Notamacropus eugenii: one gene and its partners. The protein of the gene in region 3 interacts with the protein of the main gene of each other region in a biochemical or structural test. Links are inferred from orthologs where the notes say so. Each region holds a gene or a part of one and is shown on either strand. Other genes may lie near its edges.

What was found.
Region 1: of the proteins of MAPKAPK2 (region 3) and ZFP36, one has a biochemical effect on the other in vitro, tested with the Homo sapiens proteins (2 studies listed by BioGRID). The link is inferred for Notamacropus eugenii from reciprocal best matches to the Homo sapiens genes MAPKAPK2 and ZFP36.
Region 2: of the proteins of MAPKAPK2 (region 3) and ZFP36L1, one has a biochemical effect on the other in vitro, tested with the Homo sapiens proteins (2 studies listed by BioGRID). The link is inferred for Notamacropus eugenii from reciprocal best matches to the Homo sapiens genes MAPKAPK2 and ZFP36L1.

Annotation. Positions count from the first base shown.
Region 1 is NC_092876.1:32,194,224-32,204,519, reverse strand, and holds ZFP36 (mRNA decay activator protein ZFP36), read right to left. Parts: upstream 5,386-10,296; 5' UTR 5,270-5,385; coding exon 5,201-5,269; intron 4,557-5,200; coding exon 3,507-4,556; 3' UTR 2,754-3,506; downstream 1-2,753. UniProt on the Homo sapiens protein: Zinc-finger RNA-binding protein that destabilizes several cytoplasmic AU-rich element (ARE)-containing mRNA transcripts by promoting their poly(A) tail removal or deadenylation, and hence provide a mechanism for attenuating protein synthesis.
Region 2 is NC_092872.1:310,772,685-310,782,409, reverse strand, and holds the start of ZFP36L1 (mRNA decay activator protein ZFP36L1), read right to left. Parts: upstream 4,148-9,725; 5' UTR 3,863-4,147; coding exon 3,815-3,862; intron 1-3,814. UniProt on the Homo sapiens protein: Zinc-finger RNA-binding protein that destabilizes several cytoplasmic AU-rich element (ARE)-containing mRNA transcripts by promoting their poly(A) tail removal or deadenylation, and hence provide a mechanism for attenuating protein synthesis.
Region 3 is NC_092873.1:432,632,015-432,642,050, reverse strand, and holds the start of MAPKAPK2 (MAP kinase-activated protein kinase 2), read left to right. Parts: upstream 1-5,860; 5' UTR 5,861-6,207; coding exon 6,208-6,525; intron 6,526-10,036. UniProt on the Homo sapiens protein: Stress-activated serine/threonine-protein kinase involved in cytokine production, endocytosis, reorganization of the cytoskeleton, cell migration, cell cycle control, chromatin remodeling, DNA damage response and transcriptional regulation.

The DNA of each region.
Region 1 (10,296 bases), on a different chromosome or scaffold from region 3:
GCTTTCCTTTATAACCTTAGCTTAGTGTCCCGTGCGTATTGACCTTTCCACCGACTGTGGTAGGCGCTGGTTCTACAAAGATCTGACCCTATAAAATATAGGAAATCATCCAGGCTCACCGGGAGATTACACAGGGGAGGGAGGTGAGTAAAAGTCACTAGATAAGAAAGGACAAAGTAATTTCGGAGATAAGGCAGGAACAATTCCGAGCACCCGCCAAGGTCTCCAGATAGCCGCCGCGGGGCGGAAAGAGAAGTTTCCGTTTTCACCTCTGAAATTTACACAAAACCCTCCCTCGTTAATTCCATTCATTCAGCCTGGGGTGGGTAATCGATCGCTAAGTACCCAGGGGTTAGGGGACACAAACAGCTCCAGTCTCCACCCGGAAGGGGTTTGCATTCTAGTGAAGGGACCGAGCCGAGATCACTGCCAGAACATCTCACTTATTCAAAAATAATACAAAGTAATTAGGAGGGGGGAGAGGATCGGGGGCGGAGCATCAGAGTCTAGAATTCTGCGGTGGTTTTTTTCCCTTCAGATTCAGAGGTCCGAAATCCCAAATCGTGCCCGGGGCCGCCACGTGGCGGGTGCCCAACTCTCGGGGATGTGGGACAACCGCACAGATAAGGAGGGAGAAGGATCCCAAGCGCCCCTGTTTAAGTCAGGTCTAGGGGCAACCTGCCTCCAGGCAACCCTAACCTCCCATTTACTTGTCAACTCGCAGGACGAAGGGCACCCGAACACCCAATTCCGTCCCCTAAACCTGGACATCCCAGCACTACTCCTTGCTCCCGACCCCCGTCCTAGGTTTGTTTCAGCCAGTGGCGACAGGGTGTAGAAGGGCGTTTTTCTCATTGGCCGGCAGGGGGCAGGGGCGAGCTGTAATGTGGGCAATGGGGATGTGGGCGGGGGTTGGGTGTGCGCATGCGCCCGCTGAACACTAGAGAGCGGCGGAGAAGTTTCTGGGGAGGAATCTAAGGGACGTCACGTGTGACGTCACGCAGGCGCAAGAAACGAGTAGACGAACGAAGAAGGAAGAGAACCGGGAGAGGAAGGGTCACGTGGATAAGCCTGAAGGGGCCCGCTCCGCGGGACTTTCGCCGAAGCTCCAGTGGCGCAATCGGTTAGCGCGCGGTACTTATACAGCAGTGCGGCCGTAGCGATGCCGAGGTTGTGAGTTCGATCCTCACCTGGAGCACAGACTTTTTCCCCCACTTTATATTTGAAATTTAATAGAGAATTATGAGTCCTGGCTAGGCGTGAATTCGCAGCCTCGGGCTCCTGCGCTCCCGGGATCCTGCGGGCTGGACGAGGTGCCGTTCCGCACGGCGGCCGCGAGGGGGCAGCCACGGTCTTTGTGATGGACTCCCTGAGGGTCACTCGGTCCCCTCGTATCAGATCTCGGGGCTCTTTCTAGACCCCAGCGTTTCTGGGACTCGCTCCCCCGCCCCCTCCGGTTTCCCAGAAGAAGAGGCCGAAGGTCACAGGAGGCCCAGGGAAGGGTCCCGATGGAGCCTCTCGGATGAAGGGGCGGGGTCCGCGGCCTTGACGCAAGGCCCCGCCCCCGGGGAGGCCTTCAGGCCTTATACGGGCATCGGAGGCCCCTCTCTTCCCTCCCCTCCCCAGAGTCGGGGCGGGGCTTCCGGGGCACAAGCGCACACAAACACACGCACCCCTGCGTCACTGACACGTAGCCTCCCGCCCAGCCTGGGCAGGGGCACATTCCGTCCCCATCCCCCCTCCCGCCCCATGCTCCTTCCCCAGCTAGACGGAAACTTCCCGTCCCCACCCACGGCCTCGGAGAGCGAAGAGGACGGGCAGAGACCCCGCACCCTTTCACCCCCTCCCCCGCCGTCGGTGGGTTAGACTGGGAGCTCCCGGAGGGCAGGTGCCGTCTGCCTTTGTGCCCAGCCTTTATTGGCGCAGGACCCGTACGCCGCAGGCGCTCCACCAGAGTCTACTGGCTGACGGGGAAGGGAGGAACCCCCGCTTCGACACCAGGAAGTAGACGGAGGCGCAGACTGACCGGGAAGGACCAGAGTTACAGGAAAGGGGACTTTATGAAGCGCCTCTGTGCTGGGCGCTGTGCTCGTTCATCGCTTTACCAGTATTTCATGTGACCACGAGGTTCCTGAATCACCGGGAGGGCAGGGACAGAGGCACGGACTCCCCAAAGGCCCCGAGAAGCCTCTTGGGATCCCTCGGACACCCGAGGAGACGCTTCTGAGAGTCTCAGGAGGGAGGGCAAGTCAGAGAGACCCTCCAAGACAGACACGCCAGCCCTAGAGATAAGGCTGGGATGAGAGACGAAAGAGGGGTGAAGGTGGAAACCCCTTGAAACTTGTAGCAAGAGACTGACAAAGAGATACAGACAAGGCTGAGGGATGGGAACAGCAAGTATGGAGGGCAGGTATCAGCCCGGAGGAAGATAGAAGAAATGGGCGTTGTGGAGAGGGACTCAGGACCCAGCCAGCAGAGCAGGGAGGCCGAGCCCGGACAACCTTTTCTGAGCTTGTTATTAAGATTGTAGTCAATCCCTTTCCCCACCCCCAGTCCTTCCTGGTGACCTCACCTGGGCCACCTCTTCAGGTGAGGGGGTGCCCTCCTTTCCTAGGTGAGTTCATCTGGAACCGCCCTAGCCTGGGGCCAGAGGAGTTAGGAACCAGCTAGACCGGCCCCCTAGGTCTCAGGACAGCCCTCCCCACCCCTGAACCTCAGGAGACGGACAAGAAGACAGCCTTTCACACATAAGATTACTCTTTTGTGAACTGTATTAGTTTTAATTAAAAAACAAACTCCACCAAAAAACAAAAATAGAGAGATTTCTTTTTTGTTTAGCTATATATATATACACACATATATAATAACCTTTCAAATATATATTATAGTGGCAGCAACCTCCCAATATTAGACAAAAGGGAGAGGAAACGACTGCATATATAAATACTATAAAACCCGTAGGAATAAATAATGTCGTCACCATAAATAAGGGGCCCCAGGTGAGGCAGGGAGACTTGGATTTGGTCTGGTTAGGTAGGATTTGAGCACCAGGGCTGGGGAGATCCCCATCCAGGGGAGACTTGGGGAAGCCTTTTCACAGCATGAAGAAAGGGGGGGTATCTCTTATTCTGACCCCCCTCTTAACAGGGTGTCTCAAAGACAGTACAGTTTTAACCTAGTAATGCTTACAACTGAATTAAGACTTTGGGGACACACTGTAATATATACACACATACATATATGTAGGTATATATACACATATATGTACATATGTATGTATGTATACACACATATGTCGATTCAGTATGCTACATTAAAAACCCACCCCCAGAACACCTCTTTGAGAGTTTTTGCTCGCCATAGGGACCTGCCCCGGGAGACTAGGCAATGGGTGAATGCTCTGGGGGCTAAGCAGATGAGGCACCTCCACATCTGGGCACAGCTGGCAATGGGGGAGAGGAACTTCCTGATCTCCTACTCAGTTAAGTTTGGAGTAACAGGGGTGTTCAGTCAGACACAGAGAGCCGGTTAAAGATGGGGAGCCGCCGGGGAGGAGTCAGGGCCAGGAGGTGTGAGTTAGAGGGGGCAAAAGCGCCCCCCACTGCTACCTCAAACACTGGGGAGTCAGACCCCCCCAGGCTGCTTCCCCCACTGCTGGCCTGGTCATCTGGCTCAGAGCCCAGGGAGTGAGCAGAAGGGCTTCGGGCCAGCCCCAGCCCCAGCCCCAGGCTCAGGGCATCCCTTGTGGGTCCCCATGTTCCCGTGGTCTGGCGGCAGGAGGGACAGCAGGTTTCTCCCACCGTGGCTTCCCGGGGCACTGGACCAGGGGCAGCAGAGAAGGCAGAGGGTGAGAAAGGGACCTCCCCGGGGGCGGTGGGCAGTGGGGGCGGAGAGGAAGGAGGGGAGAAGAAGCCCGAGGGGGAAGGCAGGTCCGGCAGACCTGGAGGGCTCAGGGTGGGAGAGCCCCGGCGTCGAGAAGAGGGGATCCCAGAGAAGCTGACACTCTGGCGGAGGAGGGGCGGGTGACCCGACACCACAGACAGAATTTCGTGTGGAGAGTGGATGAAATGGCAACGGTTTCCATAGGGGCAAGCGCCCATGGCTAAGAATTTGCGGCACAGCTCCGTCTTGTATTTGGGGTGGCGGCTGGCTGGCCGCAGCTCTCCAGGCCCGTGGGCGAACTGGCACTTGGAGCCGTAGCGGCATTTGCCACTCTCCGAGAAGGTCCGGCAAAGTTCCGTCTTGTATCTGGACGAGGAGGCTGCCCCGACCGGGGACGTGGAACCAACTTCCGAGGGCGCGGTGCTGACGGCTGGCACGGCTCTGGGCGGCAGGGGCTCAAAGCCCGGCGGCGGGGGCACCCAGGCGCGGCCCTCCACCAAGCTAGTAGAACGGCCTGGGAGCCGGGGACCCAGAGAGGCCGGGGCCCGCGGGGGTGAAGGTGGCTCCAGATCTGCGAGGCTTGGACTCCAGGGGCTTCGAGAGCCCCAGCCTAGGTCGGGGTCCAGTTCTCCGCGAGCCGCCGAAGCCAGCTCCGGGCTCAGGGACAGGAGTTTCTGTTAGGAGGGAGAAGGATCAGGGTGGGATCGACGGTCGGACCTAAGGTCGCTGAGCCGTGCAGAGCAGAGCAACCCCACCCAACTGCACTTCTGACCCCTGGATAGTGCCCGGGAACTAAAGCGTTGGTCTAGGCTCTAGAGAACTCCCCCAAACTCAGCCCCACCCTAAAAAGGGGGGGGGTGAGGGCCAGGACCCAGGCGTCAGTCTCCCGGTCTCTTTGCCCCTACTGACTCCACCCTAAGGCAGCTCAGAAACTAGAATCATTAAGTTTCCCCCAGTAACCCCCCAACTTAAAGAACCCCAGTTACTACTCCCAAGACACCCCCGGCGCACACACACACATATGCCCTGAGGAAGCAGCCTCACCTCCCTTCCAAGACTTGGGTTCCCTATCCTAGAGGGACCCTTCTCGGATCCCAGAGGGAACTCCAATTTCCGAGTCTGCCAAGCTATCTGCACTCAAGAAAGCCCCGTGGCACCCCAGTGCCCAGAAGTGCTGAGCGAAAGGGGAAACGTTGGCCGTCAGCGCCACGGCCCTCCCAACCAGACCTCAGGCAGAGGCGGCCGACACCTGGGTCCGCTGGTTCCAGAGAGGTGAGGGGGCAGGCAGGGGTAGGGCGAGAGGGAGGGGGCAGCTCACCTCGTAGAGAGCGCATAGTTCCAAGCCGGCGGACTTGGGCTTCCCGCCTGCAACGGCGCTTCCGTCCATCCCTGCGGATGCTCTGGCTCTGCGCGTAACCAGGACTGTGGGGAGGGTGGCCAGCGCGCTACTCTTGAAGGACTGCTTTTGGGGGAGGGGCCTCTTGGTGCCGCCCAGGACCCACCCATGGGGAGCTCCAGAAGCTAGAGACAGAGGAGGCGGGGGGACCGGGAAAGGGCGGGGACTAGGGAGGATTCGGGGGAGGAGCGATTCCCGGACTGAGTGCCCCCGGGCGGGGCGGGGGAGGCCCAGCACCTTACTCTGGGCGAAAAGCTGGCCCTTAGAGGTCCCCCAGTCACTGGATCACAACTCCTAGGATTTAAGACCTAGAAGGAAACTCAATCGTCTTCCAGTCTAATCCCCCCTCATTTTTCAGACGGGGAAACAGACCCAGAAAGGACCTGAAAAGATCTTTCCCAGATCCAAGCCCCTCCTTTTACCTATGTGGGAAGCTGAAGGTCAGGAACTGGAAACACCATTAAGGTCCCAGAGCCAGAGCCAGAGGCAGAAATGACAGACACAAGAGTAGATACAGTCAAGCACTAAAGACCTGAAAGCCAGATGTCAAGGGACAGAGAGACTCAGAAGGGGAGAAGCCGCCAGTTTACAAATTCTCTAACCCCAGAGAATACAACCAGAAGAGAAAGCTGGGAGATCATGAGTGGTAGATTTTCCAGAAGTGGAAATTGAGGCACAGAGAGGGGCAGGGATTTGTCTCAAATTCCTAAGGGAACTGGGCAAAGTCAGGTTTCTTGAGACAATGTCTACCATTCTTAGAAATTTTCTCGAGTCACTAAAGTCAGATTTTGGGGGAGATGGCCTCTTAGTTGGAGAACTGTCTGATTCTAGGCCTGTGTTGGGGCTTTTCTCTGACTCGAACACATTTAAAATAACAGAAATCTTCATTTTCCCAAGTGAAGGCTTCTCCTTCAAGTGCTCATTTTCCAGAATGAAGACTTCTGTGAGGATTAGAACTTGTGGGAAGCTTCTCTGGGGAGGGGAGGGATGGTCAGGAGGGACCTTCCCAGGAGCTGGGACCTCCCCAAGTCTCCCTTGGGTCCCGTGAGCCTGTGGTCTCCAATTTTCACCTGCGCATAGTGGCTGGCTCTCACGCTCCCCAGTGACTCACCCACCGCAGGGTGTGTATGTGTGGGGGCCCTTCCTGGAATCAGGTGACGTAAGGGGAGGGGGGGGGGAGCTGATCCGATGCTGGGGTTCCTCTCTCCTTGTAAACAGAGAGCTGAGGAACCTCAGTTTTCAGCATGCTCTTCAGATCTGGGCCTTGATTTCAGCTCAAAACAAGTGAAACTGGGACCCAGAGACAAGGTCACTGCCACCTGATAGGGAAGATGGAATGCTCTCTTCTCCCCACTTCAGAGGTTCCCAGAAAGAAAGTCCTTCCCCAAGACCCTTCCCCACTTTTCACTCATCCTAAGGGGAATTGGTTTGTCTTTCTCTTGGGATCTGAGCTTGTGGGTACATTCCAGCTTCCTGACTCATTCCCTGACGACTCTCTGAGCTCCCCATGCTCCACCCCCTAAACCAGAGTGTTACCTCACCATGCCTCAGAACCAAGGCTCCTGGGTCTAGGCCCAGCTTTAGAGGTAGAGTGGAGAGGGAGAGTCTATGAACCCCACTGAATTGGTCTCAATCAAAGACCACAGTTTTCACTCCCTCACTAGTGTCCTCAGGGAACCAGGGATCCTCCAGCCCCCCCCCCCCAAACAAAAAAATTCAATAATAATTTCAAAGATTTTGGGAACTTGGTATACAGGCTAAGTAACTGAGCATGTAGTTAGGAAGACCTAGATTGAAATTGTCCCTCACACACTTGTTAGCTGGGTGAACCCAAGCAAGTCCAGGAGCCTCACTAGACCTACTTCTTTTTCTATAAAGGGAAAGGGGGGTGTCTCTCTTAATTTCTAAGATGCCTTCCTGCTCTAAATCTATGATCTCAGAGGCCTAGCTGTTTAGCCATCTAGCCCGACTCCTTGGAGTACCAGGTCACCAGCCTGGCATCTACGCCCTTAGGTCTCAGGCCTCTCTACCTTTTTACAATCAGTTTAAATCAGTATATTTCTAGTGCTTAGCATCAAGCCTTACATAAAATGGACATTTGAAAAAATTTCTTCTAGCATCCCTCCTTTTGAGTCTTGCAGAAATATACTCCTCCAGGGTCCCAGACCTCTAACTCCCCCAACTCCATCTCCCCTCAAGGATTCAGGTTTTCACTCTCCTTCCAAATTTAGGTCATCACAACCCTCTGACCCCCTTAAATTCCATAGCCTATAACTAGTTCCTGGCTCCAAAGTTTCCCAAATCTCTGGGTTCCAGGAGTCCTTTCCCCTCCTTCCCAACCTCTGACAGCTAAGAGTACCAGATCTCTGACCTCTAACCCCTCAGATGACCTTACAACCTCCTACCCCCTAGCCTTTGGGGCCAGATCAGATCTACTCACCTTCCCAATATCTCCTGAAATTCCTTCCCTTTCTTATGAGGGGCCCCTCCTCTCACATTCTACCTCAAGACAGTCCTGATGTTTTCAGCATAGAAATGTGTATACAGTAAGCACTTAATGTTTGAATTGGGAGCATCCTCACCTTCTTTGTGGAATCTACGATTAAAAGCTTTTTGTCTCTTCACTTGGCACAGTGCTAGGCACATAGTAGATGTTTGTTGTTGACTTGAGTTGGCTCATAGTCTCCTCAGCCACATTGGCTTCCTCTGGCCTGTGAATACTTAAAACCCCAGGTAGCCTCTGCTTCCTAGGCCAGGAAGTTAGGTGTTTGGAGCTGTGAGAGGGAAAATCCCGATTTTGGGAAGTCTGGCAGTCACCATTGTTGGGAATCCCCTCTGGAACGAGATTGGGGAAAGGGTGGGACTGGGGGCCACGGCCTCTGGGATGGGGAAGGGGGAGGGGAAGGGGGCGGAAATTGGCAGATCTAAAAATATCATCAAGCTTCCGGCCCAGAAGGTGGGCAGAGTTTCCAGAACAACATGGGAGAGGGAGGCCAGGACCGGAAACCGCCAAGGCCTGAGAGAATGAGAGATTGAGAAAGAGACAGACAGACACAGACACAGAGATGGAAACAGAGAGAGAGAGAAGGGAGAGAGAAAAGAGAGTGACTGATGATCGGATCGCAGCCTTCTAAGCGTGTCAGACAACTCAGGAACACACAGGGCAAGGTGACAGATTGTGTCTCACTGTAGCTTTCAGATGAGATTATGTGTGTGTGCCCCCACGGGATTGTACTGGGAGGAGGAGGGGATGGTTTGTGTGTCAGCCCAAGACCCTTTGGGTCTGCCTGCCTTTGAGGGCTTCTGATGGTGCCCAGTGACATCTCTGCCTCATGACTGAATGTGTTCCCCCCCACAGGCAGGGGGAAAGGACAAAGTGTCCTAGTCTGGGTGTCTTCCCCACCCCTGGCTAAGGGGCCAGAGGAATTTCCCAGGCCTGGCAGAAGGGCATGGACCCTCCCCTAGGGGCTGACCACAGCTGGATCCCAGATGTTCCCGGAGAGGCTAGGTCAGGCCACCTCCCCTCCCTACCCACCAAGAGCACAGTTGCAGGAACCTGCTCCGCCCTTCTCACTTCTCCTTTGGGGCTAAAAATACTCTGGACCCTGGTGTCCAGGCCCCACCCCCCCCTTGCACAATCAGCTGATGACGCAGGCAGGCAAGCCCAAGGGGAGGAGGAAGATGAGGGGCCCGAAACTCTCCCCCCACTCTCAGGTGTCTCAGACAGCCTGAAGGGTCAGCATGAAGAGAAATGTAAAGATGAGGAAGGCTAAATCCATAATCCCTGCCTACCCTCCCTGGGTCCCGGTCCCCACTTCCTGGTCCTTCCCCAGCAGCAGGCAGGGAGGGAAGTTAGGGTGATTGACTTGAGACTGGCGTCACAGCTCCCTTTTCCTTGCATGTTCTCACTGAAGCCTCCTCCCCACCCCCTCACCCCAGTCTGGGACGCCCTTCCCTTTTCAGGGTCCTGGAATCATGGGACCTAAAAGGAATGTAAGACGTCATTTAGGCCAAGACCCTCTCATTAGACAAGAGAAAACTGAAGACTGAGGAGGAAAGTGCAAGTCTGCCCAAGATCACAAGGAAGCTGGGTTTCAGGACCTCTTATAGAGGTCCTTCTTAGAAACCCCAGCAGAAGTACCCTCCTTTCCCCAACTGTGATCCTCTTCTGCCTCAGGGATCCCCTCAGGCCCTCCTCCATTCCCTATTCAAGCATCCAGCCTTTGGCTCCTACTCTGGAAAATCAGAGTGTCCAGGGTTAGCCCAAGATCAGGTATATGCACTGGGGGTGCGGTAGCTGTGATTATATAACTGGGGGATTTCCTCCCTCCTCTTGGGAGCCTGGGGTGAGTCAGGAGCTGTGTCAGCAAAGCTGGTCTGGCTAGGACCCAAGAGCCCTTCCCCTCCCCCTCCCCTTCCTTCCCCTCTCAGGGACCCAGGCTTTCACCCTAGAGCTCCTCCTTACTTATCCTTGTCCCAATTTTCCTGGTGAAAGGAGATAGAAGGGGCGGGGAGAGGAGTGATCCAGTCAGAGGGAGAACAGAGATCCAGGGCTCGAGATACCCCCCTGGCAAAGGCAGCAAGAGCCTTAGCTACATCCAGAGACAGAACTGGCTAGGGGGAGAGAACGAAAGATCCTGCCAGAGACAGTTCGCGGCAGTGACAGAAGTCGGAGCAGAGAAAGTCAAACTCGGAGACCCAGTCAGAGACAGTCGCAGGCAGAGGACAAGGACTCAGAAACAAAGATCCCGGGACAGGGAAACCGAGGTCCAGCCAGAGACAGTCCTAGGCAGAGAGATCCAGCCAGAATTCCAGAGACTTCAGACAGAAAGACCAGACTGATAGTCTCAGGAAGAGACAGAGACAGTCCCAGGAAAAGAGAGATCTAAACAGGAGTCAGTCCCAAGCAGAGAGATCCAGGCAGTAAGAGACGGTTCCGGGAAGAGAGACGGGAGGGGGTGGGGAAGGGAGGAAAAGTTGGGTGTAACTGACAAGGCTTTCAGACTCGGGCGTCCTCC
Region 2 (9,725 bases), on a different chromosome or scaffold from region 3:
GTGGCACAGTGGAGAGAGTGCTAGACCTAGAGTCCATATCTGGTCTCAGACACTTCATAGCTGTGTGACCCTGAGCAAGTAATTTAACTTAATTTGCCTCAGTTTCCTCATCTGTAAAATAACCTGGAGAAGCAAATGGCAAACCATTCCTGTATCTTTGCCAAGAAAACACTTAAAGGGGTCACAAAGAGTTAGACACAACTGAACAACAACAAACCATAAAGCATTTTGTTTTGCTAATTAAGCTTTGCAAAATACTTTACAAATATTATCTCATTTTATCCTCACAACCACCCTTAGAGGTAGGTGCTATTTTCCCTATTTTATAGTTGAGGAAACTGAGACAGACAGGTTAAGTAACTTTCCTTAAGTATCTGCCATGGCTAGGAGGTAGCACAGTGGATAGAGGGCCAGAGGTAGAGTCAAGAAGACCTGAATTCAAATACAGTCTCAGACAGTAGTGGTGTGACCCTGGGCAAGTAACTTAACCTCTATCTGCTTCAGTTTCTTTATCTGTAAAATGGGATCATGGCACCTACCTTCCAGGATTGTTGTGAGGAACAAGTGAGATATCTGTAAAGCACTTTGCAAACCTTAAAGAGCTATATAAACACTCTTGGTGGTGGTAGTAGTGGTAGTAGCAGTAGTAGTAGTACTAGTATCTATAAGGTTCTATCTGCAAAGGCATCCTGCCCCCAAGGTGGTATTTGAACTGAATTTTCAAGGAAGCCAGGGATTCTAGGAGACACAGCTGAATGAGAGAAAAGCATTGCAGGCTCTGGTAGTGGACAATCAGTGCAAAGGCACCACGAAGGGAGATGGATAGATTATTAGGTCTGAGGAGCAGTAGGCAGACCAGTATGACTAGACTAGACTGTAGAGGGAATGGAGGAAAGTAGCACCTAAAAAGACAAGAAAAGCAGGAAAGGGCCAGCTTATGAAAAGCTTTCAATTCCAAAGGATTTTATACAGGGTATTCCAAAAGCCTTAGTGCAGTTTTAAGCTATCCAGGCTTAAAATGCAGGCATACCCTTCTATTTGATCCTAAAGGGATAGTAAGCCACTGGGGTATTGAGCAGAGAGAAGTGATTTAATCAGCTGTGCTGGAGAAAAAATCTCTTTATCAGCTGTGTGAAAGATAAGATTGGAGACAGATGATCGAAGAGGAAGGCCAACTTGCAGGCTAATACAGTAATCCAGGTGGGAAATGAGACTTTCTACTGGGGTGATAACTGTGGGAATAAAGAGGAGATACTGTGAAAAAAGAGAGAACAAGATTTGGCAATTGATTCACTGTAAAGTGAGGAAGGGAGGAGTTGACAATGACATAGTATATATAATAATATGTGATATTAGTATATATCATATTAGTATCATATATACTGCAGAGAAATATGAGACAACGTCCCCTGCTAAGGGCAGGGGATATGGAGAGGCAGTACAGAGCAAGTCTAATCTGTCTTCAGCATGAACAATCCTTCAGCTATTTGAAGGGAGTTATGTGCTCTGTCTTCTTTTTTCCAGGCTAGCTTCAGTCCATGCAACAGCACTTGCCTTCCAGGGTTGTTGTGAAGATAAAATTAGATATATGCAAATTCTAAAGTGCTCTGTAAATCTTAGTTAACATTCTTCTTCTTAATATAGTTAGTATTACTATATTTGAGCCATTGACACTGTGGAGACATTTTCTGATCCTGACACCCAGGACAGGAGTTATCCTTCTTTGGGTCAACTACAAATCTTATTTGCATAAAATCTTATGCCCTTTATTTATCCAGGGCATTAATAAAAAATATTCCTGGAATATTCCAGGAGTCAGGAAGACCTGAATTCAAACCTTGCCTCAGACATTTGCTAGCTGTGAGATCCTAAATAACTTAACTTTTCCTAGCCTCAGTTTCATCAATCTGTAAAATGAGGATAATAAGAGTATCCACCTCCTTAGAACTCTGTGAACTTTAACACATACACACACACACATGTAAGCACATATTGTGAGGACACATGTGGTCGTGTACATATGTACACAACATGCGTGTACACATATATGTGCCTTTGGTGTGCACATTCATGTGTGTACTGTATATATGTGTGCATATGTGTCATGTACATACATACTAGCCGTAAAACAGCCCAGGGCCAAGGACAGATCTCCAGGAGGCCCCATTAGAAAACTCCTTCCAATCTGATAAGAAACTGAACTTATTAGGGACTACTCTTTGGGTCAGGTTACAGCCAGCTGTGAACTTTGAACTTTCATTTACATTTCTCCACATTATCCATAAAGATAACAATGGCTTTGCTGGAGTCTGTGGTAAAACTAGCAACAGCACAGCCCTGTTCTACCAGTCCAGTAACTCTGTCAGAAAAAGGAAATGAAGTTAGTCTACCCTTCCTGGGTAGAATGAAGAGCCTTCATTCTCAAGTGACCTCTTTCACATTCATTCAAAAAAATTATTGGAGGGGGAAGTGTTTTTTGGAAGAACGGTGAGTACGGGGGAAAGGCTATGGAAGTGCCATCCTCTTCATCCTCCTACCCCCTGGTATGAGGTATTCCTCCTCCTGCAGCAATTCTAAAAGCTAAATAGATCGCCCTCACCAGCAATGGGGGGAGGGTAAAGAGGGGGTGGGGTAGGCAGAGTGGAGCAGGGAAGGTCAATTACCAAGAGACTTGAAATATGCCAGATAAAGTGTGGTTTACATAACCAGACTTTATTTACCAGCTCTATCATTCCCAGACACTTCTGCTGGGATGGATGTAAAAATAGTTATGTTGTTGGCTTAGACGTACAAACAAGTTGTGTTATTTTGAATAAAAAAAGAGACTTCTTTCCTCCCTTCGGGGTAGGGGCATGAGGAGGAGTGGTTGTAGAAACTTCCCAGATGCCTGGGTGTTCTGAGGCTCCTTCTGCGTGCTAGGAACATGATTCACCCCAGCCAGCATAGGCTGACCACTTGCACAATGCTCTGAGTCCTGTTTCCCAAGGGGTCCTTTCTTCCTGCTGTATCACAAAGCAGATGAATCGAAAAAGTATTTCCCCCTCCCCCACCTCAAAAGAACTGGCAGCTAACTTGGCCCAGAGGTGACCGGAAGGGGAAAAGACAGTGAGCCCAGACTGCATGACAAGAGGATTTGATGGAAGACGTTGGCAGTTCTCAGATTTCCTCATCTGGTATCTGCCATCTTAGAGAAGGCAGATGGAACCTTAAAGAGTATCGATGAATCCTCATTTTACAGGTGAGGAACCAGAATCTCAGGAAATAGAAATTACTTATCCAGGGTCACATAGTGTGTGAGGAGCAAAGCTAGATTAGGAACAGAACCTATTTTTTATGATGCCTGGTGATCAGTCTGTTTATTTACAACCAGACCACCAAGTCATTTCACTTCTGGGGGCCTCAATTTCTCAACCATAAAATAAGGGAATTAGATGAGCTTTAAGGTTTCTTCTAGCTCTAAATCTATGATCCTAAGACAGGCGAGTCCCATAAGTGTATCCTACTTCTTTCATGCAGCTAGGTGGAACAGTGGATAAAGAGCTAAGCCTGGAGTGAGGAAGATCTGAATTCAAATCTGATCTCAGACACCTACCTCCTAGCTGTGTGACCTTGGGCCAGTCACTTCACCCTGTTTGCCTCAGTTTCCTCATCTGTAAAGTGAGCTGAAGAAGGAAATGGCAAACTGCTCCAGTGTCTTTGACAAGAAAACCCCAAATGGGGTCACAAAAGAGTTGGACAAAACCGAACAACAACTTCTGTCACACAGCTATTATAGAGGCTGAAATTCTCTATTTCTAAGAACCAGATAACTTACCATGTAGCCTTCATTTCCTCCCACAATGTCTATTCTCTCGTCCACCATATGGAAAATAAATGGCAGCAGCGCTGCCCACACCACCAGGGGAGCAGCATTGTTTGGCCCAGACACATGGTTCCACTAAAACCAGCAGAAGTAAAGCTGGGAATTGGGAGTCCTAGGTTCTATTTTTCACTTCACCATGGGAGCACTACTCTGGGCAAATCACTCCCAGCTCCATGCCTCATTTTCCCCAACCACCCATTGTGAGGTATAACAAACAATTACACCATGCCAAGTCTCAGATGGGTGATCATTTCCCCCCCTCACCCCCCACCCCTGATAAAACATGCTCATGAGAGTAGTGAACACCAGTCTATGATCCGTACCTCATTCATCCTCACCCCATCTCTTGAAAGAAAGTCAAGACCGCAAGGGACCGTTGACGGGAAGCCAGTCTACACAGAGGGGAAGCCTCCTAACCCACACTCACACAGAAAGTCAGTGGCTGAGCAGAGAACCCAAGAATCCTCAGTGACAGCCTGGCTTTAATGTATGCCAGAGCTAGAACTCCCTGTGTTTGATTGTTCTAGAACCTTGGTCTGTATTCCATGCTAGTGTCCAAAAGAATCGGCATTATTGGGCCTTTGGAGATAGAAGAGTAGTAAGTCAAGAAGAGTAGTAAGTCAAGCAGTTCTGAAAGTAGGGAAAGAAGATGGGGAAATGTTCATTAAAGTCTTTAATTGCTATGTCAAGATTGCCCTCTGGTGGTAATAGTCAAGGTTCTAATTTTGTTGTCCAGCTGCTTCCCATCCTTCCTCCATTATCCCAGGTATTTCTGGGCATATTAAAGCAAGGAACCTGGATGGTTAGAAACTTACTCACTGGTGTCCACAAGATCACACAGAAAATGTTTTCTCCATTCCCTTTCTCCCCCAGATTTCTAGCATTACCAGTCATTTGGCCACACGAACAACTGGGGGAGAGGGCTTGAGAGTTTGGAGTTAGAATGACCCTTCAGACAAACACAAGCTATTTCCAGATCTCAGGATCTAATTCTGGTGTTCAGAATCTCTCTCCTACACATTGTCAGGTTTGAGGATACCATACAAATTTCAGCTGCCAAAGATGGGGACAGAGTGCCTGAAAGTCAGCTAATCGGTATTTACTCTGAGTCCAGTTTCCTTCTATCACAGAATCTTCTTGATCTGGGCAACGGCAGCATGCCCACCCTTTTTCTTATAGACCCTTCATATTAAACTCAGAGATTTTTCTTCTTCATCAACAAATTCATTCCAGCTCCTAGATTCATCTCCTGCATAGATCACACAGCCCTGTCCTTTATTGCTGCTATCTCTTAGGGAACAAGATTGCCAGAATTCTGTTCACTGTTGTCTCCAAGATCACAGAAGAAATTTCTCTCAACCCCTTTCAGTTTTTGGTTCAAATCTCAGACCATAAGAAGGGATGCAAGTCCAGGGAAATCTAAATTCAGCCGGGAGAAAGGGAATTCTCTCTTCTGATCTATTAAAGCTCCTAATGATTTCCTCTCCACACATTAACTTGGTTGTTGTTATGGTACAAGTGTTGCAATTACCTTTCTATCTTCTCTTTTAATGGTATTTTCCTCTGTGGTCATTGGGGAACATAGGACTCTGAGCTTCAGCTCCCTCTTCTTGGCAGTCCTCACTCCTTCAATCCATATTTCTGACAGTTACCAGGGTAACCATTTCCCATTACCTATGAGATTTCCCATCTCCCCATTCTGCTTTTCCTGGCCAGCTGTCTTGGTCAAGTGCTGATAACTACTTCATCAACAGAGTTTATTCAGGCCAAACTGAGAAGTCATCAAAATTTGACCCCACTCCAAACATCTCCAAATCATAGAATGTGAGAGCTCAGTGAGGGTGGTTGAAAACAATCCCATATCCTTCTGGTCCTCCCTTAGGCATTTTCATCCCACCAGCAGCAGCCAGTGTCTTCATGCCCTGACTATCCCAAAAATCTGGTCACTGGATTCAGATGGCTCTGGAGGAGAAGTGAGGCTGGTGACCTGCACAGCCCTCACTCACTCAAAACAAAGTCAAGTGCAAGTCATGTCATTATTTCTCTGATGGCATGGTCTTCTTCGGCAATGAAGGACGAACACCCACATCCCAAAATGCTCCCCATTGCAGCATCTCACCGAGACCTTTCCTCTTCCTTTCCCTGATCTCTTCCAAACTTGTCTGGCTTATATCCCACACCTTTAGAACCCTGCTTCCCTTTCATTGATCCCCTAGCTAAACTGGGATACTGATTTCTGTTAATGAGTTTTTATGTGAGGGGTTGAGGATAGGAAAGGAGGGATTATATAATCAAGATCCCACCAGTAGGAGTCAGGGTGTGATGTGAAGGATTTTACCAGGCTCCTTGCTTTCCAAAGATCCCCTCTATTAGTGTGCCATAGTCCCTGAAATTCTCACCATTGCAGTTAATTCTATTGGATTATGGTATTTTCTCCAGAAGGCCTCGTTTAAACAGATATTCTATTTAAGTAATATGCTAACACAAATGTTTGATACTACTCACAATTTTAGGTTTGAGCCAGTGGCTCAGGTAGAATTCTAGAGCCCCAAACATCTCAAAAAGGTGAACCTCCTTTATGTTGACCAGTAAATACCTCTTTAGCCCCCTACAGCCCTGTATGTAGCTACTGAGAATTCCACTATATTAGGTAGTATTTCTGTTGTTAAGTTATTTTAGCAGTTTTCCTATTAAATATAATTAGGGATTTAGCAGAAGTAAATGTTGTATGGAAGTAGAATATTTAAATATATCATTTTATCTACCACTCTGATAACTAATGATCTTCTCCATTGTAAGATGACCCACATCAGGAAGAAAGTCTAAATATTTTGAAAGAATTCTCATAAACACACACACACACACACACAAGTGCTCACATACACACATGCACACACACATAAAAACACTATCAATCTATAGTGATGTCTGATGACATCAAATAGGATAATGTAGAGGGAAAAATAAACTATTTTCCTCACACTTCAAACAGTATCCAAAGTCCTGAAAAAAGACAGGTGTTGTTACCAAAAAAAGTAATTAGATAGGTAAACTAGACTATCAGGCAGTGATTTTAAAAAAATCTGAATTTCAACTTGCTTCTTAATCTCCTAATATGATAAATCTAGGCTGAACTTCCTCTTTATCTCTTCCCCCCAGAGCTCCCCTCAAAATAGAAAGTCTTAGAAATTCTTGGGAAGTTATAAGTTACTTACTTATAGCACTTACTTAACAAACCTCATACCCCCTCCCCCAATCGTTATTTAACTGTCCTTGGCAGCATCTTTAGCTTCAGCTAAGCTTCTATTTCCTCCCAGTTTTATCCTGCTTTCTAACTCTTGATAGATTTTTTTTTTGGTAAAACCTGTCAACATGAGATCTGAAGCTTTTTTCTTTTACCTGAATGTTGCAGATGGCTTTATTTGTTTTTTTAGTATACTATGAAATTTGAGTAAAATCAATGCCTTCAGCCTGATCTAGAAGATATTTGTTATCTGAGGTGCCCTGTACAATGAAAGTACTAATGACTCAGGAAGGCAGGGTCTTTGCTCCTTGTGATGCTGATCCTTCTTCACTTGGATCCCCTGGGAGATGAGTGGCAGACATTCACAGATGACTAAACAAGTTCAAGAATGAAATATATGGCCATGTAAGAGACCTTTTCTGGGCAACTTTGGGGGACTGAAACCTGACTTTCCCCCTCACAGAACCTTTTTATCCAAAATTCAAGTCATTGGATGGTGTTCCTTGAAAGCGAACTGTTTTTTGCCTTACTTTGTATCTCCAGGGCTTAGCGTAGCATCTACCACACAATAGAAGCTCAATAAATGTTTGTTGGCTTGACTGAATATGACAAAATCTAACATGGTACAATGGAGAAAGTCCACACGTTGATCTCCCAGACCTGATTTTGGTCACTTCATCAGGTGTTTATTAGCTGTGTAATCCTAGGCAGTTCACAGCCTCATTATGCCTCAGTTTCTTTATCATAGCAATGGAGACAGTGTTAAATCTGGAGGCTGGAAACCTGATTCTGAATCCTAGCTGTGCCATTTACTACCTGTATGACCACCTCTAGTCCTCGATTCCTTTGGATAGAAAATGAGGCAGTAGGGAGGCACTGGAGTTGGGCAGGGGATGACAAGGTGAGACTTTTCAATTTCGAAAGATGGCTTTGGAAGCTGAGTGGACAATAGGGAGAGATTTGAGGCAAGGAGACCAACCAAAGGCTATTGCAATTGTCCGAATGTGATCCGTGCCCACAGTAGGGTGGCAGTTAACTGAGTGAAGAGAAGGGGACATTTATAAGAAATGTGAGTGTAAAAATGGCAACACTTGCTAACAGATTGAATACGTGGGATGAGCGTATGTGAGGAGTCGAAGATGACACCAAGATTTTGAGTCTGAGGGATGGAGGTGCTCTCAACAGCAATGGGAAAGTTGCGGGGGGGGGGGGGGGGGGGAAGAAATAATAAGTTCTATTTTGGACGTGCTGAGTTTGACATACCTCTGGACCATCCAGTTCCAAATGTCCAAAAGGCGGCTGGTGATGTTGGTCAGGAGAGAGGTCAGGAATCTGAGAATTTTTTGTATAGAGACGACAATTGAACCCATAGGGGTTGATAAGACCACCAAATGTGATAGTATGAAAAAAAAAAAGGTCCAAAATACACTTGGAGGAGATCCACATTTAGGTGGAGGAAAATCCAACAGAGACTGAAAAGTAAAACAGGTAAAAACCTGTTTAGCTTTTAAAATTCTTTAACATATCCCTTCCTATTTTTCCAGTCTTCTTATACTTTGCTCCCTTCCATGTGCGCCCACACACACACCACCACCACCACCTAACTCTCTGCCTTCTCATTGGTTGTCCCTTGTACCTAAAATGTTCTTCTCCTGCCTCTTAACCTCCAAGCTTCTCTGTCTTATCTCCAAAATTCAGCTCAAAGCCCACCTTCTGCAACCCCTTCAAGATTACCTCCAATTTATACTGTATAATGTTATGTAGTTCTTTGCATGTGGCTTCCTCCATTTGAACATGACCTTCTTGAGGTCAAGGCAGGGACCTGTGTTTTGCATTTCTGTATCCTCAGTGCTTAGCACAGCGTCTTGGAATGCGGTGAATGCTTGCCAAATGCTGTTTGGGCAGCTAGGTGGCACAGTGGCTAGAGTAATGGACCTGGAATGAGGAGGACTTCAGTTCAAATCCAGCTTCAGACATGTACTAGCTGTGACACCCTGGGCAAATCACTTAACCCCGTTTGACTCAGTTTCCTTGTCTGTGAAATGAGCTGGAAAAGGAAATAGCAAACCATTCCAGTATCTTTGCCAAGAAAACAAAAGGGTGTTTTTCAGGGATGTCCAAATTTTTGTGACCCTACATGAGGTCACGAAGAGTCAGACAGGACTGAAAAACATTATGAACAATAAATTCCCTTCAAACTCTAAATTTATGACACTGTGATCTATAAAATGAGAAGACTGCCTACCTCACAGAGTTGTGAGGATCAAATGTCATGACGTAAAGCGCCATATAAATGTCAGCTGTTAACTGTAAATCCTCCTTCTCTAACTGACCCTGTTATAAAGCAGAGTCCAGGATGTAATCAGAAAATCTGATCTTTGGAATTATCATGCTAATCCTTCAGAAGCCAGAAATATGGGCAGCTGCCACCACGTGAATTTTAGTTCTGCCTTAATATGCCATCATGTTGTGAACAGCTAAGCTTCCTACAGGTGTGATTAACAGAGTATAGATTAACATAGGATTCCACAGGTGTTTTGTTTTTTTTTTAATGCCAGGCTCTTTCATCCTTCTGAATTTAAAATATATATATATATATATACACAACTAGGTTTTTAA
Region 3 (10,036 bases):
TCCTTTTTCTTTCCTGAGGGTTCATCAATGCAAGGAAACTCCTTCCACCAGTGTTAACTGGCAACTTGCCTGTAACTTTTCATTTTCAGAGAGCACTGAGAGGTTAAGCACTCATCAGGAGGCAGAATGGACAGAGTACTGAAACCAGAAAGACCCGGGTTCAAATCTTGCCTCGGACACTTCCTTAGCTATGGTTAAGCTCTCTCAGTCCTAATTTCCTTATCAATAAAATGAGGATAATGATCACACCTACCATACGGGGTTGTGAGGATCAGCTGAGGGTGACATACATAAATACTTTGCCAAACCTTTATGTGATGTATATGTCATCTCCAGGCTCACTGAGCTAGTATATATTACAGGTAGGATTGAAATCTTTCTGACTCCTGGGCTGCCCTCTCTACTCCATCACACTCGCTCTCCAGGCAGGTACTATAGCTATATCCCCGTTTTAAGATGAATAAATTAAGGTCCAGTGACTTGCTCATGGTCCCACAGTTAATACTGTACATATCTGGGAGTAGAATTTGAATTCTGGTCTCCCTTGACTCCAAATTTAGTGCTATTGCCATGATTCCATATGGCTTCTCCTGCGTGTATGTGTATGTGTATGTGAGTATATGGATGTTTATTATACATGCCTGTACAGGTAAGGAAGGCTGAGGAATATTTTGAAAGTGGCAAGAGTTTTAGAAGTCTCTCTCCAGGTTATATCCAAGTGAAACCCCAACATGATAATCTTCATTTTTATCTTTTTTCTCTCTCACTGAATCTGTGGATTTTTAAGCCAACTATTTCCCAATGCAGGGTGGATGCAAGCATCTGTAGATGGGTGTGTACACAGTGATCTTCACCTATGTACTTGGGTACCTACTATTGCCTAGATGGCATCTGCATAGGAGGCTTATAGGGAGGGAGAGGAACTAGCCCTGTGATTTCATTAGTTTAGGGAACTCCTTCTACCAATGCAAGTTGGCACCTTCTCTGAAATTTAGAGTCTGAGAGCTGAACACTAAGCAATATATTGACTTGCCCAGGGGCCCTCAGCCAGAATATGTCAGGCAAGAACAATACCTCAAGGTAGATCTTATTGGTTTCAAGGCTAGCTCTCTATCCCCTGGATCATCTTGCCCCTCATAGTAACAATATTGATAATACCTTAGATTTTTTTTTGATAGATATTTTTGTTTTCTAAAGCACTTTCATACATCCTTTAAACACAACTACCCAGGGACTCTGTGCTAGGTGCTCCTCAAAATATGGTCTCAATCTGGGGTCAGAGGGAGCTTCTGATTTGATTAAAATAGGCATTGATAGCCTCACTTTACAGATGAAGTTATTGGAGTCAAACGATGGGGTATATAACTAGTTAGCAAGATAAATGGGAAGCCTAAGCTTTTCTCATACAATCACTTCCATATGTGAATCATATATGATATTGACACATGAACAATATATGATATTGTTCGTGTGCTTACATGCACAGATCCTCATGAGCTTTGAGTGTGTGTGTATGTTATGGGTGCACTTGGGTAGGAATGATGCCTTAGGTATCTTCATTCATTTATAGTTTGCCCTATGCTCTGCAGTGGATTGAGGATTAGGAGACCTGACTTCTAATTCTGACTACCCCAGTGACACTTAAAGTGTTTGAGTCTTAGTTTCCTTGTTTTTAAACCTGGCATAATAATACTAGCCCTACATATGTGGTTTGATCCTCACAAGAACCCTGTGAGGTAGACAGGGAGACTCATAACCATTTTACAGGTAAGGAAACTAAGGCTCAGAAAACTTAAGTGACTTCTGAGCCTCAGTTTCCTTGCCTTTAAAATAAGATCCAACAATAATAATAAGGCCCAATAGTAGGTACCAGAGTTAGTACAAGAACCTGACAGTCATTTGATTCCCTGTCTACTACTCTTCCCATACCCCACCTTTCAGTGAGGGTTAAGGAAGGAAAGAAACAAACAAGAAAGTTTTGTATTAAGTACTTACTATGTGCAAGGCACCATGTTAAGTATTTTACAAATATTATCAATACTCAACAATCCTGAGAGGCAAGTGCCAGTACTATCTCCATTTTATATATATATGAGTAAACTGAGGAACACAGAGGTTAAGTGATTTGCCCATGGCCACAAAGCTTGTAAGTATCTGAGGCTGAATTTGAACTCCATCAACTGACCTACCATATGCTGGACCATGTGTTAAGGTCTTCCTGACTTGAAGCTTAGAGCTTTTTCCATCAGGCTGCCTAATTGCCTCTTGACCAAACCTTACAATCTATCAACCCTGTATACTCTAGCATCTGAGGATTGGGTTTTGGGTAACTTGTTTATTCCAAGGCCAGCTTGCTCCTGGGCCTCCCCTGAGTCTCAGTTGGATGGGAAGATAGCTTCTGAGGTCAGAGGGTAGTTCCCAGGGCACAGAGCAGAGAGGCATTCAGCACTTGAAAGAAGGGTATCTATGTAGGTTGTATCTTTTATCCACCCTTAGAGGTAGAGGAGGACAGTAAAAGATCCAGCTATGGACAGCAAAGAGAAAATCTCAAGAGTCTAGCTAAGACTATCCTAGCCCACAAAGGCACAACTTCACTAATGACTCTGGGTTCTGTCGTCTGGGATCAAGAAGAATAAATCTAAACTTTTCTCTAGGTGATAGCTCTTCCAATACTTGAAGATCATATGATCAAGTTTCCTCTTTGGCTGTGCCAGGCTAAAAATCCCCTGTTCCCCCAGCAGATCCTTATATAGCATTTCAATCTCTTTACTATCCTGGTCTTCCTCCTTTGGATGTACTCCTGCTTGTCAATGTCATTTCTAAAATGTGGGATCTATTTCAGTTATGGGTCATGGGACTATTATTTTCTTGCTGTTGGGTATTTTGCTTCTTTTAACGTAGTCTGCTACTTCCTACCTAGTGATTACTTATATTTATATATATAAGCCTTTTAAGATTTGTACTTTCCTTGTAACATCTCCCGTAGGTAGGAGATCCCCATCTTACAGATGAGAAAACCTAGGTCCAAAGAGGTGACTTATCCACAGTCACAATCAGTATTTATTAAGTGCCTACTCTGTTCCATACACTGGGCTAAGCACTGAGGATACAAAAGACTGTTTTTGCCCTCAAGAATCTTAAATCTAATGGGGGAGACAACTTACAAACAAATATATACAATGCAAGCTATATGCAGAATAAATTGGAAATGGTTAACAGAGAGAAGACGTTGAAATTAAGAGGGGTTGAAGGTTTCTAATAAAAGATCAGATTTCAATTGAGACTTAAAGGAAGCCAGAGAGGTCAGTAGTCACAGTGGAGGAGGGAGGGCATTCCAGGTATGGGGGACAGCCAAAGAAAATTTCCAGAGATGAAATGTCTAGTTCATGGAGCATCCAGAAAGCCAATGTCACTAGATCAAAGAGTACATATGGAGGAATAAAGTGAAAGAAGACTTGAAAGACAGGAGGGGGCCAGGTATGGTAAGTGATCAGAGGAAGAATTTAAAGCAGGTCACACTCTTTCCATCCCACCGGGCAACTTTTCAAGCCCAGGACAGAATTAGCTTTTTTGGCCACCATGTCATACTTTTTTGACACGTTTAGTTTGCAGTCCATTGAAATCCCCAGATCTTTTTCACAGGAACTGTTGTTGCCTAGCCATATTTTCTCAGCATTTTGTATTTGTCCACTTGATACCTTTGTCAGTTCAAAAGTCATTTATTAAGCACCTATGATGTGGCCAGACACTGTTGGTGTGAAGCTTCATCTAAGGGTAGGACTTTACTTGGACCCCTATTCATTTTCATCCTAGATGTGTTCCCTATTTCTGACATGACTAGCTCAGGATGCCAGTGCTGCTAACCAGCTGCTAACTAGCTATCCTCCCCAGTTTTTGTTCATTTGGTAATTTGACATGCATACTATCTGTGCTTTCACCTAACTTATCAAAGTGTTGAATGCTGCCTTAGTTTCTTCACATGAAATAAATGAAAGAGAGAGAGAGAGAGAGAGAGAGTCCTAAGAACATTCCTTGCGTGTCTAGGGCAGCCCCAGAGTCAATAAGGAACTTTTTTCCAGATTCTCTGGTCAATATAAGTCATCAAAACAAAAAGGAATATTCAGGCTAAGATCAATTACTGAGGGGTGGGGTGAGGTGGGGAAAGGACAATTAAAGGGTATACCTGGAATGTAAGCTCTTTGAGGGCAGGGGCTGGTTTTCATTTTGTCATTTTATCTACAGCCTAGCCTGGTGCACTTAATACATGCTTGTTAAGTTGAATTTAACAGGGCCAAGTACAGATCCCTGGGGTATTGTACTAGATACCTTCTTCCAGGCCCACTGCCATGGATCTAGTTTTTCATTTCAGATCAAACATTTAAGTGCTTAGTACATAAAAGGCACTCTTCCAGGTGCTAGATACCACGCCAGAGAATTCTGGAATTTCCAGCATTTCGTTCAAAGGCATTGCCTGTAATTGTTGTCATCATTGACATTCTGTCCATCTTTAAAAGACCAATTTAGCTACCTCCTTTTTCTTTGAATCCTTCTGTGTTCAGTACAGCCAAAAGCGAGCTCTCTCTCCCTTCTAACTCTCATACCACTGGCTTTATCTTTCTTATTGTCCTTATCTTAGTCAGCCTTATATTGCAACATCATCTCCCTGGCTGGATCATAAACTCCTTTCGGGCAGGAACCACAGCTTAAATTTGATTATTTACATTTTTATCTGAAGTTTGCAAAGGCTTTGCTTTCATAACCTCAGTCGTCAAAGAGGTCAATCCCCTGACCCCCTCCTCTTTGCGAAAGAGGCTAAGGGAATCATCACTGTGAGTTTTCTTTCCAAGCTCACTTTAAAAGGAAGCACCTTTCTGAAGGTCCAACATTTCATCTTCTGGTCTGTTTTTGATATCCCCATTTTACAAAAGAAGCGATTGATGCTCCAAGAGGTTTTGACTCACAGAGAGGAAATGAAAGAAGGCAGACGACAGGAAGCAAGACTCGAACCCAGATCTCAGGACATCAAGTTCAATGTTCTGCCTCTAACCTTAGCACAGTACTTTCTTCACTTGAGCTACTTGATGTCTCTTGAATAACTGTCCAGCAGTCTTTATTGTCCCTCTAGGAATTCACGATTTTTTGCACTCCTTTCCCTGCCAGAGACTAGCTTTTCCCTTACTTTTTTGGAGTCACTTTCTTTCATAAAAGCTGGCAGAGTCCGATGAAGTAAGGCAGCTATTATAGTGATTTGGGGGTAGAAAACATGGGTTTGAATTCTGGCTCTGATATTTACTACTAGTGTGATCTTGGTCAAGTCATTTACTCCTCTCCACTGGGCCCGGGTTTCCTCCTCTGTAAAATAAAGGGATTGGATGAGATGACTTCTAAGGTCCCTTCTAGCTCCAGTTCCTACGGTTCTCAGTATCTTCGTGTCCTTTATCGGATGCACTTACGACCCCGAGTCACAAAGCCGCAGAATATTAGGGCTGAAAGGAACCCCCTCTTTTATTCCCACCAGCCAGAGCTGTCCAGGGTCTCTACGCTCACGCAGCCATCCTGAATAGGAATCACACAACTGAATAAAAAGTGGCCTTTCGCCTTGAATTACTCGGAAGGTTCCCTTTCCCTTTGTGTAGACCTGGCCTCCAAGAGAAGCCTCTTTTGATTTTCTCCCGTTCTCTGTCCTCAGCTTCTCCCGGCCGCTTCACTCCAAGCCCAGTCTCTGATCCTTCCCTTTAAGGGTTCCCCCTCCCCTCCCCCACACCTTCCCTTCTCCCGTCCCACCCCCACCCCCCTACATCTTCCAAACCCCGCCCCCTCTGGCCCTCCCCTTTAAGGGCCGTCCCCGGCGAGGCTGAGGCTCTGACGCGGCCGCCGGGCCCCGGGGCTGGATACATTGTCGCGCCGAGCTTCCCCCGGGCCGGCCCCCAGCCGTCCCCGCGCGGCTTCCCGCAGCGCCAGGCCCCCCGGGGGGCAGGCGCGAGCCCGCGAGCCCGGACGGACCGACGGACCGACGGACCGACCGAAGCCGCCGCCGGGCCGAGGCTGGAGCCGGGGCTGAACTGCTCTGGGGAAGCCGGCTCTGCCGCCGCTGGGGAGCAAACTTCCCAGCCGGGCGGGGGCTGGCGGGGGCCCCGTCCAGGGCCGGAGGAGGAGACGGCCCCGAGTCCTCCTCCTCCCGTTCCTGCTCCCCGGTCTCCCGGCACCATGCTGTCTAACTCGCCGGGCCAGACCCCGCCCGTGCTGTTCCCCAACCCTCCGCCGCCACCCCCGCCCCAGCAGCCCCAGCCCCCCTCCCAGCCCCAGCCCCCCGTGCTGCCTCTGCCGCCGCCGCCCCCTCCTCCGCCGCCGCCCCCTCAGCCCCCCCAGCAGTTCCCCCAGTTCTATGTCAAGTCGAGCCTGCAGATCAAGAAGAATGCTATCACGGATGACTACAAGGTCACCAGCCAGGTCCTGGGGCTGGGCATCAACGGGAAAGTTTTGCAGATCTTCAACAAGAAGACCGGGGAGAAATTCGCCCTCAAAGTAAGTTTGGGGCCCGGCAGGAGGAGAAGGGGACTCCAGGGGGCGACTGCCACCTTACCCGGGGAAACCAGGAACTGCTTAAAAAGATCTACCTGACCCTCCCTTGTCCCCCCAGCTCCTTCCTGGGAACCCCGAGCGTAAGGAGGGGGAGGAGGAGAGAGGGTGCTGCTGTCTGAGTTATTGCTGGTTGTTTTTGTGGAGTGTGTGACTTTGGGGGAGGGGAAGGTCAGAGCAGATTTTTGGTGTCCCTGGGATCGCGGGACAGTTTCCGGTCACCTTAGGGAGTTAGCGTAGTGAACTCCAAAGAGAGTAGGGAGGACTATACCATTTTGGGGTTTGAGCGGGCATCATTTGAATCTGCATTGGGCAGATCCTGGATCGCTTCTGCTTTAACACCCGTAGTCGGTGTCAAGGAAGTGATTTTGAAGGGTTGTGGTTCCCCATCTCTCCTCTCTCTGCCTCTCCCTATCTCTTTCCTTCCCTTCCTCTTCCTCCCCCCTCCCCTCCCCTTGCCTCCCTCTCTCGCTCTCTCTCTCTCTGCCGGCACAAAAGGCCCATTACTCATTGAGCTGGTTGGTTGGTTGGTTTGGAGAAGTCGGATCGTAGAGGTTTATTTTGCCTCTTTCCTTATTTGGGAGCCGGAATGTGTGATTTCACTTCCCTTGCTCTCTAGAGTAAAAGTCTTCTGTCTTCTACTTAAAATGCATTGGCCCAAAGTAGTGCCAGACCGGAGATTCCGGAGGGGGAACCCCGCCTTAGACCCATGGGTGGGGGAGGGTGATTTGTTTTGGCCAGTATGCCTCTTCCTTTTCTCAATGTCCACCCCCAACCCCCATATCACTCCAAAGAGGGAGGCTTCGATACTGTATCTGCTATTTTCGTAGTTCCATTGATCCAAATTATTATGTACGCTTTGACTTGGCCTTTTGAAGTTTTCAGTAAATCCTTGATGAGATGTGTGGGCTGGAAAAGAAGCTTCTCCTCCTGAAACCCTAAAGATGAGAGATTAGATGTGTCCCTTCACTAGGTACTGCTTCAGCTTTAGGGAAGAGGGTAGAGGGGCAGAAATGGGGGGGGGGGGGGCACAAGAAGGCAACCCTGTGAGGCAAGGAGTTTGACCTTGGAGATCCCACATTGGGAACTGGGACAAAGCAGACTAGTCTGAGCCAGGGGCAGGTCAAGGGGAATCATCACAGAGTTTTCTTCCCTTAGTGGTTTTAAAAGGAAGCACCTCTCTGAAGGTAAAACACTTCATCTTCTGGTCTGTTTTCGATAGGTATCTTGGAGATTGGAGGAGAGGGGAAAGTCCTTGTTTGCATGAGGGGACAGATGTGCAGTCCTGGGAAAGAGTCAACAGATTTGAGTTTGGAATCCTGGCTTTGTCACTTCCTTAATTAGCGAGGTTGGGTCTCAGTTTCCTCAGATGTAAAATAAAGATAGTATCTACAGTACCTCTCTCATTGGATTGTTGTAACAAAGGAGATAATGGATGTAAAACACTTTGTAAACTGTGAAGTGTTTGATGTAAGTTGTTAGTGTTAATTTCCTTCCTTCCCAAAGTATTTTTTAAAAGGTGTATGAATTCTTGTTTGAATAGCCTTTATTCCTTCTCTGAGGGATGGTGAATAAAAACAGATATATTGACTGTAGATGTGATGTACTGGCTCCAAAGCATGAGTGTTTTTTTTCTTAAACTGAACAGATAACTTTCAAATTTTCATTTGTAGTTGCATGTTTCTCTGACTCTAAAGGGATGAAACATAAGCTTGCAATGACCTGTTCTTTTTCAAACTGTCTTTTAAACCCCTTTTCTTTCTCAGTCCGTTATATTGGGGAGGAGAAACTAGAGTTATGACCTTGTGGAAGAATTCAAAGTTTGACCAGAGTTAACTCACAGTGTTAAGCCTGGCACAAATTCTTCTTTACAGGAGAGCTTGGTCATCAGTTGTTCAGGGATATGAGTTACTTGCGCTTTTTCCCAAGGAGTAAAAATACCGTATGGAGGTATCAGAACAGTCGCCTTATCATAAAAATAAAAGGCCTGGAGAGTTTATATAATTCACCAAAAACCTTTGAAACATTTCTTTATTTTTGCTTTGAAGGAGGAGAGTGGTTAGAGAGATGATTGAAATTTCTCTTCTAATTATCAGGAAAGTGATTTTGCCTTTTAAACATTTTTTCCCTTGTGGTCTTAAAGGGAGAATCTCCTAATGTTTTAAATGATACTTTTAGCACAATAGGTTTTTATGAGCACAATTTATCCTTCTCTGCAGGTTAAAAGTAGGTGAGAAGAATGAAGTCACTCTGTTTTGACAGACAGCCTGCTTCTAGATCTCATGAGTTGACTCAACTGTTAAATTGCACATTTCCCACACTTCATTGTGTAAAAGCTTAATAACAGAGGAAGAAAGCCTGGGTGAGGCATCAGGAGAGTATCAGCAATGTCAACAGCTACAGCATATCCAAATATTGGTTAAGACATAATTACAGGGGGAGGAGGGGAATGGGGGAATCTTGTTCGAAGAATCGTGCTGGAAATACACATGAAAGATCTTGACTTTTGATTACTCTCTTGTGCCGATTAGGGAAATCATATGTTAAAATAGTAGTCTTGTGTGTGAAGTTGAGGAGCTTGGAGACCAAAGTAATTGTCCTAGCTTGACTGGTAAATTGGGAGAAAGCCTGGGATGAGAGGAAGGGTCAGACTGGAGGCTTCCCAAACATTGCTTGGCTTATTGAAGTATATGTTTTGTGGGTAGAAATGGGTGATATAGATGGACCCCTTTGTGGCTATGCTTGGTGAAGGGAAGTTGAAGTTGTTATGATGCTCTGAGCCTTGTCTGAGGTCTAATGACCTCTCATTCCTGTTAAGTGATGGCTTTAAAAAAATGACCAGCTTTGCTCCTTCCTTTCTAACTAACCTTTAAATGTGTTTTGGTGGGTATTGTGGTCTTACCTTGTCATATCCTCCTTGCTCTTGCTAAGTATTTTTTTCCCCTTCTCATAAATCTAGAGAAAGGGCCTTGAAATCTGGAAGGTCTCTGTTTGAATTCTATCTTTGGTACTTCTCAGCTGTGTGACCCTGGGCAAGTCACTTCTGTTTTCTTCATCTGTTAAAAAAGGGTTTGGACTAAGATGACTTCTGAGGTCCTTTCTGGTTTTAAATCCTTGATTTGTTATGGCTATGTACTTTGGAAGTCTTGACTTTAGTCCTTAAATATATCCTTTACACCTCACCCCGTCCCCAAAGCAAATCTTTCAAACTTAAATACTGTTTTTCAGGGTTTATAGTTGCTTTTCATGGAACTCCCTTGTGAACCATGTAGGGAAAGTATTATATTTTGATGACAAGAAAACTGAGGTTTAAAGACCAGTCACCTAGACAGTAAGCATTTGAAATGAGATTAGGACTTTTTCCCATACAGAAACTCCCACTCCTCCCCCCAGCTGTCATTGACTTTACCCTCCTTGGCCCCTTGGTCATTGCTGTGATGCTAAAGGGTGTTTTCCA